Struthio camelus: one gene and its partners. The protein of the gene in region 3 purifies or fractionates together with the protein of the main gene of each other region. This does not show direct contact. Links are inferred from orthologs where the notes say so. Each region holds a gene or a part of one and is shown on either strand. Other genes may lie near its edges.

What was found. Proteins that work in one complex are often made in the same cells at the same time.
Region 1: the proteins of USP13 (region 3) and SMC1A purify together in Homo sapiens (affinity purification with mass spectrometry; 5 studies listed by BioGRID and IntAct, with this or other methods). This does not show direct contact. The link is inferred for Struthio camelus from reciprocal best matches to the Homo sapiens genes USP13 and SMC1A.
Region 2: the proteins of USP13 (region 3) and BAG6 purify together in Homo sapiens (affinity purification with western blotting; 3 studies listed by BioGRID and IntAct, with this or other methods). This does not show direct contact. The link is inferred for Struthio camelus from reciprocal best matches to the Homo sapiens genes USP13 and BAG6.

What each region holds. Positions count from the first base shown.
Region 1 is NC_090979.1:409,530-417,264, forward strand, and holds the start of SMC1A (structural maintenance of chromosomes protein 1A), read left to right. Parts: upstream 1-4,717; 5' UTR 4,718-4,904; coding exon 4,905-5,013; intron 5,014-5,880; coding exon 5,881-6,069; intron 6,070-6,155; coding exon 6,156-6,268; intron 6,269-6,342; coding exon 6,343-6,546; intron 6,547-6,628; coding exon 6,629-6,867; intron 6,868-6,941; coding exon 6,942-7,200; intron 7,201-7,274; coding exon 7,275-7,415; intron 7,416-7,489; coding exon 7,490-7,572; intron 7,573-7,735. UniProt on the Homo sapiens protein: Involved in chromosome cohesion during cell cycle and in DNA repair. Central component of cohesin complex. The cohesin complex is required for the cohesion of sister chromatids after DNA replication.
Region 2 is NC_090977.1:58,846-65,685, forward strand, and holds the start of BAG6 (large proline-rich protein BAG6), read right to left. Parts: upstream 3,019-6,840; 5' UTR 2,894-3,018; intron 1,350-2,893; 5' UTR 1,328-1,349; coding exon 1,253-1,327; intron 1,169-1,252; coding exon 1,051-1,168; intron 207-1,050; coding exon 16-206; intron 1-15. Other genes in the region: spliceosome RNA helicase DDX39B, read right to left, coding at 6,140-6,156, 6,235-6,382, 6,466-6,610, 6,693-6,802. UniProt on the Homo sapiens protein: ATP-independent molecular chaperone preventing the aggregation of misfolded and hydrophobic patches-containing proteins.
Region 3 is NC_090950.1:24,654,024-24,660,997, reverse strand, and holds the start of USP13 (ubiquitin carboxyl-terminal hydrolase 13), read left to right. Parts: upstream 1-3,963; 5' UTR 3,964-4,083; coding exon 4,084-4,242; intron 4,243-6,974. UniProt on the Homo sapiens protein: Deubiquitinase that mediates deubiquitination of target proteins such as BECN1, MITF, SKP2 and USP10 and is involved in various processes such as autophagy, endoplasmic reticulum-associated degradation (ERAD), cell cycle progression or DNA damage response.

The DNA.
Region 1 (7,735 bases), on a different chromosome or scaffold from region 3:
GACACCAAGACCCACCTCAGGCACGTGGGGACACCAGGGACCTCCAGGAGGTCCCCAGGGGACGATGGGACCCACCTTGGGGACATGGGGACACCAGAGATGTCTATGAGGTCCCCAAGGGACACCAGGACCTGCCTTGGGGATATGGGGACACCAGGGATGTCCAGAACATCCCCAAGAGACACCAGGACCTGCCTTGGGGACATGGGGACACCAGGGACCTCCAGGAGGTCCCCAAGAGACACCAGGACCCACCTTGGGGACATGGGGACACCAGGGACCTCCAGGAGGTCCCCAAGAGACACCAGGATCCACCTTGGGGACATGGGGACACCAGGGACCTCCAGGAGGTCCCCAAGAGACACCAGGATCCACCTTGGGGACACAGGGACACAAAGGATGTCCATGACGTCCCCAGGGGACAATGGGACCCACCTTGTGGACATGGGGACACCAGGGATGTCCATGAGGTCCCCAAGGGACACCAGGACCTGCCTTGGGGACATGGGGACACCAGGGACCTCCAGGAGGTCCCCAGGGGACAACGGGACCTGCCATGGGGACATGGGGACACCAGGGACCTCCAGGAGGTCCCCAGGGGACACCAGGGCTCTAGGGATGCCCAGGACTTCTACTGGGGACCCAGGGACACGAAGGACGCCCGGGACATTCCCCAGGGACACCAGGACCCCCCTTGGGGACATGGGGACACCAGGGATCCCCAGGACCCGTGGGGACCCCGGGGACCCCGGGGGCCGCTGGCCGCCGCCTGGCGCAGGGTGACCCGGGGTCCCCAGGCTGCCCAGAGCCTCCTGTCCCCAGGTCCTGGTGCCACCGCGTCCCCACTGTCCCCAGGTCTCCAGCCCCCTCCGTCCCCCCCTGTTCCCCCCGTGTCCCTGGGTCCCCTTCCTCTGCCACCTCGTGCCACCCCCCTGTCCCCAGGTGCTGGTGCCACCCCTGGGTCCCCCCATGTGTCCCCCACGTCCTTGTTGTCCCCAGGTCTCCCTGCCACCTCCAGGTCTCCTCCTGTGTCCACCATATCTCTGTTGTCCCCAGGTCCTTCTGCCACCCCTGGGTCGCCCACGTCCCCAGGTCCTGGTGCCACCCTTGGGTCCCTCCCTGTGCCCCCCGTGTCCCCCATGTCCTCAGGTCCTGGTGCCACCTCCAGGTCGCTCCCTGTGCCCCCCATGCCCCCCATGTCCTCAGGTCCTTCTGCCACCCCTGGGTCCCCCATGTCCCTAGGTCCTTCTGCCACCTCCATGTCCCCAGGTGCTGGTGCCACCCCTGTGCCCCCCATGTCCCCCATGTCCCCAACTCCTGGTGCCACCCCCACGTCCCCCACGTCCCCAAGTGCTGGTGCCACCCCCATGTCCCCCATGTCCCCCACGTCCCCAGGTCCTTCTGCCACCCCCGGGTCCCCCACGTCCCCAGGTCCTTCTGCCATCCCCACGTCCCCAGGTGCTGGTGCCACCCCCACGTCCCCCACGTCCCCCACGTCCCCAGGTGCTGGTGCCACCCGAGGGCCTCCCGCCCGGCCGGTTCCCCCCGGGCACCCGGAGCAGCAGGCGCGCCGGGGCGGCGGGTGCCCGGCGGCGGCCTGGGCGGTGGCCTCGGCGGTGGCCTCGGCGTGGCGGGAGCTGCGGGGGCGCTGGGGGCCGCTGGCCACGGCCTGGGGGCTGGCGCTGCTCTTCGGGCTGCCCCAGGTGGCCATCTTCGGGCAGCGGGAGGTGGCGGCGGGCGAGCGGGACTGCTGGGCCGTCTTCGTCCGGCCCTGGGGCGCCCGGGCCTACGTCACCTGGGTGGCGCTGGCCGTGCTGGTGGCCCCGGCCGCCCTGCTGGCCGGGCTGCTGGCGGCGGTGGCCCGGGCGGTGGGCCGGCGGCGGGCGGTCGCCGGGCTGGGCCGGGCCCGGGCCAAGAGCCACCGCATGGCGCTGGTGGTGCTGGCCGTCTACGTGGGCTGCTGGGCCCCTTTCTTCTGCGCCCAGCTGTGGGCCGTCTGGGACCCCCGGGCCCCCGTCGAGGGTGAGCGCCCGGGGACGGGGACGGGGGGGACCTGGGGGGACCTGGGGGACCTGGGGAACATGGGGGAGATGGGGGATGTGGAGGGACATGATGGAGATGGAGGCACATGGAGGGTCATGGAGGACATGGGGGGGACATGAGGGGACATGGGGGGACATGGAGGGACATGGGGGACATGGGGGGAACATGAGGGGACATGGGGGGACATGGAGGGTCACGGGGGGACACGGGGGACATGGGGGGACATGGAGGGACATGGAGGGACACGGAGGGACACGGAGGGACATGGGGGACATGGGGGGACATGGAGGGACATGGAGGGACATGGGGGACATGGGGGGGACATGAGGGGACATGGGGGGACATGGGGGGACATGGAGGGTCACGGGGGGACACGGGGGACACGGGGGGACATGGAGGGACATGGGGGACATGGTGGGACACGGTGGGACATGGGGAGACATGGGGGACATGGGGGGACACGGGGGACATGGGGGACATGGGGAGACATGGGGGACATGGAGGGACATGGAGGGACATGGGGGGACATGGGACATGGGGGGACATGGGGGACATGGAGGGACATGGAGGGACACGGAGGGACACAGAGGGACACGGAGGGACATGGGGGGACACGGAGGGACATGGGGGGACATGGGGGACATGGGGGACATGGAGGGACACGGAGGGACACGGAGGGACACGGAGGACATGGGGGACATGGAGGGACATGGAGGGACACGGAGGGACATGAGGGGACACGGAGAACATGTTTGGCCGCGGGTGGCCGCGGTGGCCGCAGCGGTGGCCGCGGCGGCGCTGACGGCGGCGGTGGCCCGCAGGCCCGGCCTTCACCATCCTCATGCTGCTGGCCAGCCTCAACAGCTGCACCAACCCCTGGATCTACGCCGCCTTCAGCACCAGCCTGTCGCGCGCCATGGCCCGCCTGCTGTGCCCCTGCCGCCGCCCCCGCTGACCCCCCGGCCACCACCGCGGCCACCGCGGCCACCACGGCCACCATCACGGCCACCATGGCCACCACCGCAGCCCCCGCCCCGGCCACCATGGCCACCATCGCAGCCACCACGACAGCCACCATGGTCACCACGGCCACCGTGGCCACCACCACGGCCACCACAGCCACCACCATGGCCATCACCATGGTCACCACGGTCACCACGGCCACCACCGCAGCCACCGCCACGGCCACCATGGCCTCCACGACAGCCACCATGGCCACCACAACCACCACCACGGCCACCACGGCCACCACCATGGCCACCATGGCCACCATTGCAGCCACCACGACCACCACCACAGCCACCACAGCCACCACGGCCACCACCATGGCCACCACGGCCACCACCACGGCCACCACGACCACCACCGCAGTCACCATGGCCACCACAGCCACCACCACAGCCACCATGGCCACCACCGCAGCCACCACGGCCACCACCACAGCCACCACGACCACCACCACGGCCACCATGGCCACCACCATGGCCACCACGACCACCACCGCAGCCACCACGACCACCACCGCAGTCACCATGGCCACCACGGCCACCACCGCAGCCACCACGACCACCACAGCCACCACCATGGCCACCACGGCCACCACCACAGCCACCACGACCACCACCACGGCCACCACGGCCACCACCACAGCCACCACAACCACCACAGCCACCACCATGGCCACCATGGCCACCATTGCAGCCACCACGACCACCACCGCAGCCACCACGACCACCACGGCCACCACCATGGCCACCATGGCCACCATTGCAGCCACCACGACCACCACCGCAGCCACCACGACCACCACCACGGCCACCACAGCCACCACGGCCACCACCATGGCCACCACGGCCACCACCACGGCCACCACGACCACCACCGCAGCCACCACGACCACCACCACAGCCACCACGACCACCACCGCAGCCACCACGACCACCACAGCCACCACCATGGCCACCATGGCCACCACCATGGCCACCACGACCACCACCGCAGCCACCATGACCACCACAGCCACCACCATGGCCACCACGGCCACCACCGCAGCCACCACGACCACCACCGCAGTCACCATGGCCACCACAGCCACCACCACAGCCACCATGGCCACCACCGCAGCCACCACGACCACCACCACGGCCACCACGACCACCACAGCCACCACCATGGCCACCACGACCACCACCGCAGCCACCACGACCACCACCACGGCCACCATGGCCACCGCGGCCACCGGGGCCGCTCGCACGAGGGGGCGGGGCTTGCACGGGCCCGCATCGCACCAATAAACATGGCTCAACCCGTAGGCCTCTGCCCCTCGACCTTTGCCCTTTGCCCCCCTGACCTTTGCCCTTTGCCCCCTCCCCCGACGTTCCCCCTCGGCCCGGCGCCCTCCCGTTGCCATGGAGACGCGCTCCCCCCTCCCCTCTCCCAACCCGGGCCCCGCCCCATGCAAATGAGCACCCCCCGCGCGGCCAATCCGCCTGCGCCGGGGGCGGGGCTCCGTATGCAAACCGCGCCGCCGCTCTCCCCCCCCCCCCGCCTCCACCCGACGGCTGACGCGGCGCGAGGGGCGGGGCGGCGGGGGGAGAGCGGCGGCGGCGGGAGCCTATCAGCGCCCGCGCGGCGCGGCGGCGGCGGCCAATGGCGTAGCGGGTGCGAGGTGGTGGGAGGGGGAGGGGGGGAGGAGCGGGTGTTCTCGCGAGAGCGCGGCGCGGGGCGGTGCCGGCCTTGGCGCGCGCGCGCGCGGCTGCCGCGGTCCCCGTGTCCCCCCCCGGCTGCCGTAGCCGCCCCGTTTCCCGCCCTCCGGGCTCCCGTAGCGGCCCGGTTCCCCGCCGGCTCCCGCCGCCGCCATCATGGGCTTCCTCAAGCTCATCGAGATCGAGAACTTCAAGTCCTACAAGGGGCGGCAGATCATCGGGCCCTTCCGCCGCTTCACCGCCATCATCGGCCCCAACGGCTCCGGTGAGACCCCCGCCCTCCGCTATCCCGTGGTGCTTTGCGCCCGCTCCCAGGACGCTCCGCGTGCCCCGGCGGTGGCCCGGCTGCCCCCGCTATCCCACAATGCACCTGCAGCCTCGCCCTCTCGCCTCGGCCTTCCCAGGATGCACCGCGGGGCCCTTCGAGTGTCCCAGGATGCTCTGTGGGCCTGTTTGGGCATCCCAGGATGCACCGCGGGGTGCTGCGGGCATCCCATGATGCCCTGTGGGCCCCTTCGGCCTTCCCAGGATGCACTGCGGGGCCTTTCAGGTGTCCCATGATGCCTTGCGGGGCCCTTCGGCCTTCCCAGGATGCACCGCAGGGTGCTGCGGGCATCCCATGATGCCCTGTGGGCCCCTTCGGCCTTCCCAGGATGCACCGGGGAGCCTTTCAGGTGTCCCATGATGCTTTGTGGGGCCCTTCGGCCTTCCCAGGATGCACTGCGGGGCCTTTCAGGCGTCCCATGATGCCTTGCGGGGCCCTTCGGCCTTCCCAGGATGCACCGGGGAGCCTTTCAGGTGTCCCATGATGCCTTGCGGGGCCCTTTGGTCCTCCCAGGATGCACTGTGGGGCCTTTCAGGTGTCCCATGATGCCTTGCGGGGCCCTTTGGTCCTCCCAGGATGCACTGTGGGGCCTTTCAGGCATCCCATGATGCCTTGTGGGCCCCTTCGGCCTTCCCACGATGCACCGGGGAGCCTTTCAGGTGTCCCATGATGCCTTGCGGGGCCCTTCGGCCTTCCCAGGATGCACCGCGCTCTCGCTCGTCCCGCGGCGCAGGGGCCCGGCTGCCCCCTGCTCTCCCACAATGCCGTGCGCCGCCTCCCCCCCACCCCCCCCCTCACTTCCCGCAGGCAAGTCGAACCTGATGGACGCCATCAGCTTCGTGCTGGGCGAGAAGACGAGCAACCTGCGGGTGAAGACGCTGCGGGACCTGATCCACGGGGCGCCCGTGGGCAAGCCGGCCGCCAGCCGGGCCTTCGTCAGCATGGTGTACTCGGAGGAGGGCGCCGAGGACCGCACCTTCGCCCGCGTCATCGTGGGTGCGTGGGGGGCGCCGGGTGGGGGGGACGGACGGACGGACGGACGGACGCCGGGCCGCCCTCACCGCCGCCCGCCGCCGCCGCAGGCAGCTCCTCCGAGTACAAGATCAACAACCGGGTGGTGCAGCTGAGCGAGTACAGCGAGGAGCTGGAGAAGCTCGGCATCCTCATCAAGGCCAGGAACTTCCTCGTCTTCCAGGTGGGGGGTGGGGGGGGCAGGGGGTCCCGGCCGGGCTGGGGCGGGGGGGTCCCGGCGCTGACGCCCCGCCGCAGGGCGCCGTGGAGTCCATCGCCATGAAGAACCCCAAGGAGCGCACGGCGCTCTTCGAGGAGATCAGCCGCTCGGGGGAGCTGGCGCAGGAGTACGACAAGCGCAAGAAGGAGATGGTGAAGGCGGAGGAGGACACGCAGTTCAACTACCACCGCAAGAAGAACATCGCCGCCGAGCGCAAGGAGGCCAAGCAGGAGAAGGAGGAGGTGGGGCGGCGGCGGCGGGGTGGGGGGCGGCGGGGCGCGTCGCGCCGGCGGGGTCCCCACGGCCGTTTCTCGCCCCCGCCAGGCGGACCGGTACCAGCGGCTGAAGGACGAGGTGGTGCGGGCCCAGGTGCAGCTGCAGCTCTTCAAGCTCTACCACAACGAGGCCGAGATCGAGAAGCTCAACAAGGAGCTGGGCCTGAAGAACCGGGAGATCGACAAGGACAAGAAGCGCATGGACCGGGTGGAGGACGAGCTCAAGGACCGCAAGAAGGAGCTGGGCAAGATGATGCGGGAGCAGCAGCAGATCGAGAAGGAGATCAAGTAGGTGGCGGGGCCGGGAGGCGCCGGGGGCGAGCCCGGCCCCGGGGCCGCCCTCAGCCCGCCCTCGCCCCAAGGGAGAAGGACTCGGAGCTGAACCAGAAGCGGCCGCAGTACATCAAGGCCAAGGAGAACACGTCGCACAAGATCAAGAAGCTGGAGGCGGCCAAGAAGTCGCTGCAGAACGCGCAGAAGCAGTACAAGAAGCGCAAGGGCGACATGGACGAGCTGGAGAAGGAGATGCTCTCGGTGGAGAAGGCCCGGCAGGAGTTCGAGGAGCGCATGGAGGAGGAGAGCCAGAGCCAGGGCCGCGACCTCACGCTGGAGGAGAACCAGGTGGGGCCGGGGCCGGGGCCGGGCGGCTCGGGGCGCCGCCGGGGCCGCCGCTGAGCCGCCGCGCCGCCCCCCAGGTGAAGAAGTACCACCGGCTGAAGGAGGAGGCCAGCAAGCGGGCCGCCACGCTGGCCCAGGAGCTCGAGAAGTTCAACCGCGACCAGAAGGCCGACCAGGACCGGCTGGACCTGGAGGAGAGGAAGAAAGTGGAGACGGAGGTGAGTGGGGCTCCCCGGCCCCGCCGCGGGCGCTCCCGCCCCCCGCGGCCGCCCCTCACCCCCCTCCGCCCCAGGCCAAGATCAAGCAGAAGCTGCGGGAGATCGAGGAGAACCAGAAGCGCATCGAGAAGCTGGAGGAGTACATCGCCACCAGCAAGTGAGCGGTCGTCCCCGAGGCGTCTGCCTCCCCGCGTCCCCATCTCGGCGTCCCTGGGGTGGTCCCTGCGGTGTCCCCCGTCCCCCTGTCCCCGTCTGTGTGTCCTTGGAGCGGTCCCTGAGCTGTTCTTTGCCCTCCCGTCCCCATCTGTGTGCTCCTAGGG
Region 2 (6,840 bases), on a different chromosome or scaffold from region 3:
GCGCCCCCGGCTCACCGGCAGGTTGAAGGTCCCCACCATGACGTAGCTGTTGGCGTTGCGGTCGTGGCCGGGGCCGCCCGGCCCCCGGGGGCCCCCCCCGTTGTGGGGGGCCGAGGAGGAGCCCAGCCCCGAGGGGCCCCCCCCCGAGGGCGACTGGGCCTGGGGGGGCGCCCGCTCCACCAGGTGGATCACTTTGCCCCCCACATCTGGGGGAAGAAAGGACGGGGGGGGAGAGGGTCAGCCAAACCCCTGCCCCGCAGCTCCCCACCCCCCCCAAATGCTGCCTGAAGAGCCCCCAACCCCCCCACTAACTCTAAGGCTCCCCAAACCCCCCAAAACTGCCCTCAAACTCCCTCAATGCTGCCCAAGGGTCCCCCAACCCCCCATAAACGACCATCCACCCCCAAACTGCTGCTTAGATGGCTCCTAAACTCTTCTAAATAACCTCAAATCGCTCCTAAGAGCCACCAAACTCCCACAAACTACCCCAATTACCCCCAAAAACTTCTAAGCTCTTGTAAGAAAACTCCAGAACTCCCCCAAGACCCCCAAAACCACGATAAAATGCCCCAACTACCACCCAAGAAGCTCCTGAAGTCCCTAACTAACCCCGCAGCTCTGCAAACCCCCCCAAAACTGCCCTCAAATGACCCCAATGCTGCCCCAGGAGCCCCTAAACCCCCCTAGCTCCCCCCAGCGCTCCCCAAATGCCCCCAAACCCCCTCAAATGCCCCAGCTCCTGCCCAAGGGGCCCCTAAACCCCCCAATTTGCCCCAGGGCTCCCCAAAAACCCCCAAATCCTCTCAAATGCCCCAGCTCCTGCCCAAGGGGCCCCTAAACCCCCCCAACTCTCCCCAGGGCTCCCCAAATACCCCCAAACCCCCTCAAATGCCCCAACCCCTGCCCAAGGGGCCCCTAAACCCCCCAATTCACCCCAGGGCTCCCCAAATACCCCCAAACCCCCTCAAATGCCCCAACCCCTGCCCAAGGGGTCCCCAAACTCAACCCGCCCCCCAGGTGCTGCCCGGCCCCCCCCCGCCGCCCCCTCACTGTATTCCTGCAGCTTCTTGTCGTCCTGCAGCACCCGGCCCTGGTAAATGAGCCGCTGCTTCTCGGCGGGGATGGAGACGGCGGCGGCGATGTGCTCCTTGAACGCCCGCACCGTGATCTGGGGGAGGGCGGCGGCGGCGGGGGGTCACGGGGGGGCCGGGGGGGGGGGCGGGGATGCGGGGACCCCCCGGCTCGGCCTCACCTCCGGCTCCACGTGGAAGCTCCGGGTCTGCGAGTCCAACGTCTTCACCAGCACCTCCAGCCGCTCCTCCGCCATGGCGCCGCCGCAGCGCTGACCCCTGACCCCGGCCCCCGGGGTCAGCCCTCGCCCTGGCCCCCGACCCCCAGCCCCCGACCCCCGGGGTCAGCCCTCGCCCTCACCCCCGACCCCCGGGGTCACCCCTCGCCCTCACCCCTGACCCCCAGCCCCTGACCCCCGGGGTCAGCCCTCGCCCTGGCCCCCGACCCCCGGCCCCTGACCCCCAGGGTCAGCCCTCGCCCTCACCCCCGACCCCCGGCGTCACCCCTCGCCCTCACCCCTGACCCCCGGGGTCACCCCTCGCCCTCACCCCTGACCCCCAGCCCCTGACCCCCGGCGTCACCCCTCGCCCTCACCCCCGACCCCCGGCGTCACCCCTCGCCCTCACCCCTGACCCCCGGGGTCACACCTCGCCCTCACCCCTGACCCCCGGGGTCAGCCCTCGCCCTGGCCCCCGACCCCCGGCCCCCGACCCCCGGGGTCAGCCCTCGCCCTGGCCCCCGACCCCTGACCCCCGGGGTCACCCCTCGCCCTCACCCCCGACCCCCAGCCCCTGACCCCCGGCGTCACCCCTCGCCCTGGCCCCCGACCCCCAGCCCCTGACCCCCGGGGTCACCCCTCGCCCTCACCCCCGACCCCCAGCCCCTGACCCCCGGGGTCACCCCTCGCCCTGGCCCCTGATCCCCAGCCCCTGACCCCCGGGGTCAGCCCTCGCCCTGGCCCCCGACCCCTGACCCCCGGGGTCACCCCTCGCCCTCACCCCCGACCCCCGGCCCCTGACCCCCGGCGTCACCCCTCGCCCTGGCCCCTGATCCCCAGCCCCTGGCCCCCGGGGTCACCCCTCGCCCTCACCCCCGACCCCCAGCCCCTGACCCCCGGCGTCACCCCTCGCCCTGGCCCCTGATCCCCAGCCCCTGGCCCCCGGGGTCAGCCCTCGCCCTGGCCCCCGACCCCCGGCCCCTGACCCCCGGGGTCAGCCCTCGCCCTGGCCCCCGACCCCTGACCCCCGGGGTCAGCCCTCGCCCTCACCCCCGACCCCCGGCCCCTGACCCCCGGGGTCAGCCCTCGCCCTAGCCCCCGACCCCCAGCCCCTGACCCCCGGGGTCAGCCCTCGCCCTGGCCCCCGACCCCCGACCCCTGACCCCCGGGGTCAGCCCTCGCCCTGGCCCCTGATCCCCAGCCCCTGGCCCCCGGGGTCACCCCTCGCCCTCACCCCCGACCCCCGGCCCCTGACCCCCGGGGTCAGCCCTCGCCCTGGCCCCCGACCCCCGGCCCCTGACCCCCGGGGTCACCCCTCACCCTGACCCCTGACCCTTGGGGGTCAGCCCTCACTCTGACCTCTGACCCCCCGACCCCAGAGGTCAACGCTTGCCCTGACCCCCGACCCCGCGACCCCCAGCCTCTGACCCCACCCCGACCCTGACCCCGCCACCCCCACGCTGACCCTCGACCTCTGACCCCGCGGCCTACACCCCACCCCGACCCCTGACCCCCGCGGCCCCGACTCCCACCGCAAACCGGCAGGCCGGCGCTCCTGACCCCCGCCCGCCGCCCCTCACCCCCCGCCGGTCGGCGGCGCCTTGCCTCCGCGGGCAGTCGCTTCCGGCTCGGTGCGCGATCCGCTTCCGGGGCAGGCGGGGGGGGGAGCGGGTCGGCTTCCGGGGGGGCTGGGCGCGCCCTGGGGCGGGCGCGGAGCCGCCGCCGGGGCCGGGCCGGGGCCGCGGGGCCGCGCTCGGTGCGGAGCGGCTCCTCCGTGCGCCTCCGGCCGCGCCGCCCGGCCGCGCTCTGCCGCGCATGCGCGCCGCCGCGCAGGACCCCGCCGCCGCGCCGGGCTGCCCGCGCCGCGCCTGCGCCGCTCAGCAGGCGTCCGCCGCCGCCACCCCAGCCGGGACGGGGGTGGGGGGGGCCTCGCTGCTTCGCGCATGCGCGCTGCGGGTGAGGGAGTGAAGCCGCGGCGGCCGCCATCTTGGCGATTGCGCCCTGGGCAGAGCGGCCATCTTGGCTGAGGGCGCCGCCATCTTGGCTGCGGGCCGGGCCCGTTTCCCGCCCCCTCCCCCGTGTGTTGCGGTAGGCCCGAGCGTAAAGATGGCGCTGGTGCCCCCCCCACCCCGCGGCAGGGCCCATGTTGTGCCCGGGGGGGAGGGGGCAGAGCAGCCGAGGCCCCCGTTGTGTTACAGGAGCACAACCCCCCCGACTGACGGGGCCAGCTCTCACCCAAATCCGTGTTTATTTAAATAAAAACAAAGGAGGGGTCCCGGGGCGGGGGAAGGGGCGCTGCCCCCCGGTTTGAGGAGCCCCGACAATAAACAGGCCGGGGGGCGGGGGTGCCCTCACCCAAGATGGCGGCCGGTAGCGGCGCTGCCCACACCCGACATGGCCACCCCCACCGGTCGGGAAGGGGGACAAAAAAGGCGGGAACCCCCCCCCACCACCTCCGCGCGACCCCCCCTGTTGCTATGTAAACAGAGCATCCCCCGCCCCCCCGTCCGAAAAGAGACACCACCAGGCCGCATCCAGACCCAGAATCAGCTTTATTTGCCCCAATTCCAGCTGCTCCCCTCCCCCCTGCGACACGGGCGCCGTTTGTCCCTCGCAGGCTCCGGGCCGCGGCTGGGGGGGGGGGAAAGAGAAGCGTCAAGGGGGGGGGGAACAAGGGGGTCCCGGGGGGGTAACGGGGGGGGGATGGGGAGGTTCCCAAGGGAGGTAACAGGGGGTCTTGGGGGGGGGGAACAAGGGGGTCCTGGAAGGGGTAATGGGGGCATCCCGGGGGGGGAACAGGGGGGTCCCGGGGGGGGGTAATGGGGGTTAACGGGGGGGTCCCGGGGGGGGGGATGGGGAGGTTCCCAAGGGAGGTAACAGGGGGTCTCGGGGGGGGGGAACAAGGGGGTCCTGGAAGGGGTAATGGGGGCATCCCGGGGGGGAACAGGGGGGTCCCGGGGGGGGTCACCAGGGGGGTAACAGGGGGGAGTAATGGGGGTTAACGGGGGGGTCCCGGGGCCGCCTCGGCTCAGGGCGCTGCGAGGGGTCGTCACGGCGGGATCGGCCTCGGTGCGGGTTCCTCATCGCCGGGGGGCCCCGGGGGGGGCCCGGTTGGGGGGGGGTCACTCACCGCGTCATGCCGGTGCCGACGGGCCTCGGGCTCCTGCGAGACACACGGGGGGGGGGGGAAGGGGGGTGTTAGCGAACGGGAGGGACCCAGGCGTCCGGCGGGGGGGCGGGAGGGAGGGGGCGTCGCTCAGGCTGGGGGGGTCGTCAGGGGGGGTCAGAGACTCTAGTCTGGGGGGATCATCACAGCGACGCCCCGGACCCGCGGGGATCGGGGGGGGGGGGGAATCCTCACCCCATGGCGCAGCCGGGGGGGCCCAGGCGTCCGGGGGCTCCGACCTGCGGGAGGGAGAGAGAGAGGGGTGAACGGGGGGGGGGGGAGGGACTGAGGCGTCCGGGGAGGGGGAGGGACGGAGGGGGCGTCGCTCAGGCTGGGGGGGTCGTCAGGGGGGTCGGAGACTCTAGTCTAGGGGATCATCATGGCGACGCCCCAAGGGGCAGGGGCCCAGGCGTCCCGGCTCCCCCCCCCAACAACGGGGCCCAGGCGTCCTGGCTCCCCCCCCCCACCACAACGGGGCCCAGGCGTCCCGGCTCCCCCCCCCCCCACAACAACGGGGCCCAGGCGTCCCGGCTCCCCGCCCCCCCCAAACAACGGGGCCCAGGCGTCCCGGCTCCCCCCCCCCCCAACAACGGGGCCCAGGCGTCCCGCCCTCCCCCCAAACAACGGGGCCCAGGCGTCCCGGCTCCCCCCCACCACAACAACGGGGCCCAGGCGTCCCGGCTCCCCCCCCCCACCCCCAACAACGGGGCCCAGGCGTCCCGGCTCCCCCCCCCCCACCACAACGGGGCCCAGGCGTCCCGGCTCCCCCCCCCCCCCAACAACGGGGCCAAGGCGTCCCGGCTCCCCCCCCCCCCAACAACGGGGCCCAGGCGTCCGGGCGCCCCCCCTCCACGGGGCCCAGGCGTCCCGGCTCCCCCCCCCCCACCACAACGGGGCCCAGGCGTCCCGGCTCCCCCCCACCCCCAACAGCGGGGCCCAGGCGTCCGGGCGCCCCCCACCTGCCCGCGGCTCCCCGGCGTCCGGCGGGAAGAGGCCGCGCGCCGCCCCCGCGGGGCCCTTTATAGCGGCGGCGCCGAGGCCCCGCCCCCTCGGCCCGCCCGCCTCAAAGATGGCGGCGCTGCCCGCGCGCAAGATGGCCGCCGCGGCTTCGCTCCCCGCCCGCCTGCGCGGACCCCGCCTCCCTCAGCCCCGCCCCCTCCCGCGACCCCGCCCCCACCGCAACCCCCGCCCTGCTAAGCCCCGCCCCGCCGGCCCCGCCCCTCCCGCGGCCCCGCCCCCGAGGCAGACAGCGGCGTCCAGGGACCCGGCGAGGCCGGGCGACTTTATTACCAAAAAAACCAGAAATTGTACAGCTGAGGGGAGCCCGGGGGGGAGGGGCCCTCCGGAGCCCCCGCCCCCCGCCGAGCTCGGGCTTTTTCTCTTTTTTTTTGTCTTTTCAGGCCTTTTTTCTATAAAACCCCCCGGGTCCGGGCGGGGGAGGCGCCGCGGGGAGGCGGCGGCAGCCGTGGGGGGGGGCGGCTGGCGGGGCGGGGCCTCCCCGCTTCCTCTTGCGTCCGGGCGGCGGCGGTTTCGGGGGCCCCCTCCCGGCCAGGGCGGCGGTTTCGGGGGCCCCCCTCCGGGCAGGCGTCGGCGGTTTCGGGGGCTCCCTCGGCAGCCGGACGGTCGGAAGAGGGGAGGAACGAGGAGACGCGAACCGGGCGGGAGGGCGGCGGGCGCCGGGCAGCTTATCGGGTCTGCTCGACTGGAGGGGGGGGAGAGCGGGGTGAGGGCGGCCCCGGCCCGGCCCCCCGCCCGGCCCCCCGCCCGGCCCCCCGCTCACTGTAGGAGGAGATGTCGATCTCGTCGGGCAGCTCGCTGATGTTCACCTCGAAGCGGTCCTGCACGTCGTTGAGGATCTTGGCGTCGTTCTCGTCCGACACGAAGGTGATGGCCAAGCCCTTGGTGCCGAAGCGCCCGGCCCGGGCCACCTGCGCGACGGGAGGCGGCGCCGCCGTCAGCCCCCCGCCCGGCCCGGCCCCCCGCCCGGCCCCCGCCCGGCCCCGGCACCCACCCGGTGCAGGTAGGTGTCCGAGTCCTCGGGCATGTCGTAGTTGAAGGCGATGTTGACCCGCTCGATGTCCATCCCCCGCCCGAAGAGGTTGGTGGCCACCAGGATGCGGCGCTGGAAGTCCTTGAACTGCTGGTACCGCGAGAGCCTGGGGGGGACGGGGCGGGGGGTGTCAGGGAGGCCGGGCCCCCCCCCGGGCCCCCCCCGGCCCCCCCGGCCCCCCGGCGCACCGCTCCTCCTGGGGCATGCCGCGGTGGATGGCGATGGCCGGGAAGTTCTGCTCCACCAGCAGCTGCGCCAGGGCGATGCAGCGCTGCACCGACTTCACGAAGATCACCACCTGCGGGGGGCGGGCGGGGGGTCACTTGGGGGTCCCGG
Region 3 (6,974 bases):
TAGATCATCCAAAAAGTGAGGTATTCTAAAACGTCTTGCCACGTTGCTCTGTTCTGTTGACACTTTGATTTTTTTCAGTGAGGTACATTTCATATAATACCTGCTTCCTTTTCTAATGGATCTAAAACGGAGCCACATACCCCCTTTGGGGCAGAAAGTGTCTTCATAGATGCAGGTTTAAACCAAGTCAGTGCTCTGTAATACATTAACACTTCAAAAAACTCATACTGAGAGGTACCTACCCGTTATGTTACATAATTTTAATTTTAAAAATGAGTATCGGGTGACTTGGAGAATTGCATGCCTAGTGGTTGTCCAGAGGACTATCTTTTTATATTTTCATGAGGCTTTAGGTTTTTTTTACCTCAGATCCTACCTGTGTTTTGAGAAGGCTGAATTAAGACAGAAACACTTGCCTAAACCTGTAGCGATTACTATCCATATTGTCAGCTGTAGGACTAGAAAGCAAATGAAAACTTCTTAAATATTTAAGAAAAGTGTGTAGTATATATAAACTCAAGTCTTTATGACTTTAAGGCTTTTTGTAAGTTTAAGTCTTTCATGTATTCTTGAAAATATCCTGCAGTTCTTAGGTTAAAGTCTATGGTCTGTCATGTAGAACTTGCTTCATTGTTAGGAAGACTCTAAGCGGGCAAATATGAAACGAAGTATTTTCCTAGTAACTGCTGTATATCTAATTTTTTAGCGATGTAGTGACATTATTGATACTGCTGTTCAACAGAGTTTTCTTACTGTAACAGGCTTAGTAATATGAAGAAGGGAAAAATAGGAAACTGCTTCGTGAAGGTTGTTACGAAAGGGTTGCTTGAAGTCTGAAGAGCAAGGATCAAGCCAAAGAGAACTGCATAGGTAGACATTGATTAATGTTTTTCATGGATAATATTACTGCAGGTAAACAGATACCATCTTCTGCTGTTTGTTGGCAGTTTTTAGCATGTACAAATCAAAGTCCTAAATAACACTCTCAAGGTGAAAATTTCAAAACTTTATACTCCCAAAGTATGTAATATAGAGAGACGGTATAAGAGACTTCACAGATGAAAAAGACAGTCCTCTCTCTGGTAACACTTGAGTGTATTTTAAAGGCTTCTTTTCCAAGGTGAACTGGAATCAAAAAGCAAAACAAAAGAGTTTATATATAAGTTGAGTAGAAATGTGCTCTCCAACTGTGGTTAATCAGGAACAAATTAAGAAATACGTAAGGGGAACGAAGCAAATAGAGATCCAGGATGTTACATAAACAGAATACTGAATATTGGTAATTATCTAGCATGATCTGGTCTGCCTAGCTGGAAGGGGCTGTATATTGTGTATGAAGTCCTATCTCTGTTGTTTTTTTTTTTTTAATATTATCAGTTTCTTCCATAAAATAAGAAATTAAAGATGGTGTAAATGAGGAATGATCCTCATACAGTTTTAACACCTATTTCGTCAATTGCTGCATGTTAGTGAAGGTATAGAAGTTACATACAGAAAATACCAAACAAGGCAAACAGATAGGAACGGTAGGACTGCAGATGCAAACAAAAAGCTTTGAAATTTAGTTAGTATTACAAGCTTTTTTACTTATTTTGCATTTTGCTACTTTACATTTCTCTGAAGAGTATTACCGTATTCAAAACCAATTTTGTTACAATCGGTTTGCAGATGTTAGCAGAAGTTAGGCCTTTACTGAAGATCAAGTAAGAACATACTTAAATCTGAAACAATTACTTAAGAGCACTTCAAGAGGAGGCTGCCTACTTTCACGTTTGTAAGAATGGAATTGCTTGATGATTTTTATACATGACAACAGTGAACAAGTACCTTCTGGGATAGCATTAGTTGTTTTAAGCTGCATGTGAGGACATCCGTACACGTGCCTGCCATGCATTTTCAAAAGTATGCAGCCTTTCAGGGCTACTAAGATGATGAAGGGACTGGAGCACCTCTCCTATGAGGAAAGGCTAAGGAAGCTGGGACTCTTCATCCTGGAGAAGAGAAGACTGAGGGGGGATCTGATCAATGTGTATAAGTATCTGAAGGGAAAACAGCAAGAGGATGGGGCCAGACTCTTCTCCGTGGTGCCCAGCGATAGGACAAGAGGCAACGGGCACAAACTGAAACCCAGGAAGTTTCATTTGAACATGAGGAAAAACTTTACTGTGAGGGTGGCTGAGCACTGACTGGCACAGGTTGCCCAGAGAGGCGGTGGAGTCTCCATCCTTGGAGATATTCAAGAGCTGTCTGGGACAGGGTCCTGGGCAAAGTGCTCTAGGTGACTTTGCCTGAGTGGGGGGGGGTTGACTAGATGATCTCCAGAGGTCCCTTCCATCTGCAACCATTCTGTGATTCTGTGATTTTTCTATACCACTTTTGGAAAAAAAAAAGTTGGGAATAAATAGGTTACTCTTTTTTTCTGACAGGCTTTTGCCACTAGAGGGATACGTTTCCTCAGGTTCTAATGGCCATAGTATTCCTCTAGTTTTAAATCCCGTAACAGAGGGAAAGACTGTGCCTTTCTTAGTTTGTGACCCTACATTACCTGTTCACACTGAAATTTCCACTTTTTTTTTTTAAAAAAGGAAGTAAGCCCAACCTCTTTGGCAAATCCTGGTCATCTTGTGGTTTCAGACTGCTAAAACCTAATTAATTACTTTCATTATATTGAGCAATAGTACATAGAATATTTGAAGTAAACACTCATTTGCTGTTTCCTAACACTGCCAAACATTAGGAAGACTCTAATTGATTTAGGATTTCTTATGTTATGATTCGTTGATGTAAATTCTATTCTTGTGGAAGTCTAAAGCCATTCCATTGAGCTCATATTCTGCTTGCGGTATTTCACAGGCTTCCCACCACTTGATTTTGCTTGAAAAATTGCTGAGACGAGGCTATACTGGTTAGCTTACGCTCGCAGCCCATTTCTTTATTGCTGGATACGAACCTGTGGTTTTTCAGCTCTGTTGTTAATTCAGAACCACCTTTTGAACCTTTAGTTTTTGAGGTTAAAAGTGCTCCTAGCAAAGGTCACACGTACACAGATTGCTGTGAAGTGTTACAAACTTTTATTTTCAATTGCCTGCTTGCAGGTGGTCCATGAGCCCTTGGATTTAATGTCAGCTACAGCCGGAAGGCCACTCATCTAAATTATCTGGCTTTAATTTTAAATGGACCAGTCTTTTCTTTAATCCTGCTGCTGCTAATCCTGTCAGGCGTACGCAGTTAGATATCGTTTGAAAAACCTCGTGATTTCGAGTAGGGTACTTTCAGTTACTTCCCTCTTCCTCTACTGCTATCGGTATTCTGTCACAGTGAGAAGAGCACCCCTGCAGAAGTGGGAGAAGGTCACCGTAGACTTAAGACACTGTGCCTCAGCACCGGACATCCGCGTTCAGCCGCGGGCACTGCCGCAGGCTCCCACCGTCGCCTCACGCAGAGCAGTTTAACTCCCCTGGGCATCGCTTCCACCTTACCAGCTGTTTCGCTTCGCCGAGATAACTCATACACCGTTCAGGCAGGGGCGCTGCCTTGTTCCGCTGAAATACAACACCCTCCGTAGCGGGGTGGTGACAAATCCGCTCGTACGCGCAGAGAAAAACCTGTACCCAATCTACGCCGTATCACGGCTAATTGGGGGGGGGGAGGGGGAGGGGCGCGGCGGCCCCTCAGCGCCGGGCGCCCCGTAACGGTCGCCGGCGGCGCGCGGGGCGGGGCCGGGCCGCCCCGGAGCCGGGGTGGCGGCGGCGGGCCCTGCCGCCCCCGCGGGCGGCCTCGGAGGCCGGAGGTGCCTGAGAGGCAGGGGCGGAGGCGGCGGGGGGCCGCCCGCCCTGCCCCTCCTTCCCGCCCTCGCCGGGACCCCGAGGTGCCGCCGCAGCTGGTGCCGCTCCTGCTGCCATTGGATTAAAAATAGCATCTTCCCTCCCCCTTCCCCTCCCCCAGGCCCGGCTCCCGCCGCCGCTGCCGCCGCCGCCACCGCTACCGCCGCGCCCTGCCCTGCCCCGGGCCCGGCTGCCCTCCGCCTCCATTGCCCGCTCGCCGTCGGCCGGCCGGAGGCAGCGAGCGACCGAGCGAGCGAACATGCAGCGGGCCGCGCTCTTCGGCGGCGGCGGCGGCGATGCGCAGATGGCCGCCGGGGACCTGGGCGAGCTGCTGGTCCCCTACATGCCCACGATCCGGGTGCCCAAGTCAGGGGACCGGGTCTACAAGACGGAGTGCGCCTTCTCCTACGACTCGCCTGTGAGTGCAGCGAAGCCGCCGCCGGCTGCCTCCGCTTCCCCCCCCCTCACCCCGCCGGCTGCCGACCTACCCCTCTCCCAGCGCCCTGCGGCAGCTCTGCCGCCGCCCCGCTGCCTCTTCCCCCGCTCCCGGCTGCTCCCCAGCCCCGGGGCAGCTTCCCCCAGGCCTCAGCCTCCCTGCCCTCCCCCTACCCCCCCGCGGCTTCTTCCTTAGCCAGGTTTCCCTCGCCACCCCCGGGCTGCAGCCCCTTCCCTTCCCGGGGGTCCCGGCCGCGCCGCCGGCTCCCCTCGCCCCCTCAGCCTGCGGGTGCCCCGGCTGGCAGCCGCCGGCATGGCGGGATGTGTCCGCGCTCTGTCGCAGCTGAGGACTCCTCTGACAAGCACGTCGCCGCCAGCTTGTATGCAGCGCTAGTATTGGCTTCTGTGGGGTTTCTGTTGTTGTTTTCTAGGGAACTTTTCTATCGCCTGGGAAATCGTTTCTGGTTCTCCAGGGTGGGCATGCTCTCCCTGTGTAACCCTTGTTTTCAGGTTGGTACTGAGATAGTAAAAAGCAGAAGGAGCTGACGTTCTCGTTCGCATGTTTTTGGCTAGGAAAAAGCCAATGGTTTTGCTTGCCTACCGTATCACTGCTTATCCTCCTGTTGATGATCTTTTAAGGAAGTCTTCAAAGAAGTTCAACCTGAAAATCAGTGTGAAAGTCTTCCTGAAATACTTTCCCTCCTGGCGTTTTGGTTAGGTCACTAGACTTCAAAGAACGCGTATTTCCTCACTAGCTTATTTAGTTTGTTGTTAAATGAATGTTTGATGCGTAGTAACTTTCTATGATGTTATAGTTGTCTTGCAAAGCATCCGCAAGCTCCACAAATGCATGTATTGTGTTGCAGATTTGGGGCCCTACTCGTTTTTTAACTTTGCTGAAAACATTGGAAACCTTAATAAATAGTGAGTGGATACTGTGTAGGAAACACGTGTTTAGAAATTGCACTTTTTAAATGGAGCTGAAATTTTTTTAAAGATTGCTTCTCTACATTAGGCTGAGGTTTCTCAAAGGTGACTGAGCGCTCTGTATTGCTGTAAAGTTAAAGTTAATGACAGCAATCTGAAGGAAGCTCAGTGTTTACATGACAGGATAGTCAATTAAAGATATGTTTGAGATGGACTTTTGAGCATGTTATTCCTCTCTCTTTAATATTTTCCTCTAATGCAAAAAAATCAAAATTGGTTTCAAAGGTGACTCAGCTGTCTGGTGTTCATCATGTCTTGTTGAACAGAGGTTATTTTTACCCGCACTCTTCAGATCTCAAGTGTCACCTAGCAGCCCTGGCTGTACCGGCAGGCAGTCTGATTAAAATTGCCAAATCAGACTCTACTGCAGAGGCGCTAATTACATTATATACTAAGTAAGGGTTGGGGGGGGAATCAATATACCACAATTCTTTCTTGAAATTTTTGCTTGGGTGAACACTAGAAATAATACTTTCAGGTGGCTTGGACCTTATGGTCTATAAAAAGTTTCCTTTAACCAGTAGGAAGAGATATCAAATTCTGTTACAGATTAAAAAGCATTAATCAACACCCCTCCCTGCAACAGATGTCAAATAAACACAGCGAAACTTTTTTTTTTTTTTTAAGCAAAACAATATATTGGAGCAAAACATAAAGTATTTGAGGAAAGCTCAAATAAGCTTAACAAAAGCTACATATAAGCATAGGAAAAGGAGCTGGAATCACCAAGTGCGATTTTCAAAACTGTTTCATCCCATTCACTTTTTTGGCAAGAGAGTCAGGTTTTGAAAACGTTGGCCTTGGCCATTAGAGACTTTTTGTTGAAAGGTATTCATTAGGCAAAAGGCTCTGACTGAATTCATGCAATACCAGTAAAAATTATATTATGCTCTATTTCCATTGTCTAGTTTTCCACGGCTTTTCAGCCTGTACTGGTCCTTGACTTGGTTGGGTAAAAGACTTGTCTCCAGAAAATGTATTCGTTATTCCCATGTAACCTAACAGATATTTGGATATTGTTTCTAGGATAGCTGGTTCTAAAAGACAAATGTGTGCTTTTGGGGGTAAAACACCATCATTTACAAATTTGAAAACAGCAAAACTTTATTTTTACAGTCTTCCGCCCAGAAGAGAAGGTGAAAGAAGGATACAGACAGATTGTCCCCTTGGTTAAAAAAAGGGATTTATCTCAGTGTGCTTTGTATTAGGTTGTCTTAGTGACTTATTTTCTGAGGTCAACTACGTATAGCCTAAGTGAGTGAATTCCTATTGAGGTGTCTGCCTCTTTTTGAAAGATGCGCAGTTTTTTTTTTCCTCCCCTATAATATTAAAGTAAATGATAAATGTTAAAAGCATGTCCTCTGGGGTTTATTGTCTATAGTAAAATTCCAGATAACTTAGTCGACTAGGAAGGTGTTTTCCATTGTAAGCTTATTTCTCAGTACGTCCTCGCATCTCCTCATTTTGCCATTTCGAGTATGTTCTTTGTTCAGCTCTTCTCTGTTTCGAGTCAGCTCGAGGCAAGATGTTTTGTTTTGTCACTCTTCTTCAATACCAGATTTTATTTCAGTAGTTTATTCCATTAACACCGTAAAACTCTCTCTCAAGCTTTACCTTTGATTCTTTTCCTATTCAGGCAAGTAAATTTCCTGAGTATTTTGGAACTTAATACTTTGGTCAACTAATTTTTGTATGCACTTTTCTTAAGTGATATGCCCAGTCACAGAG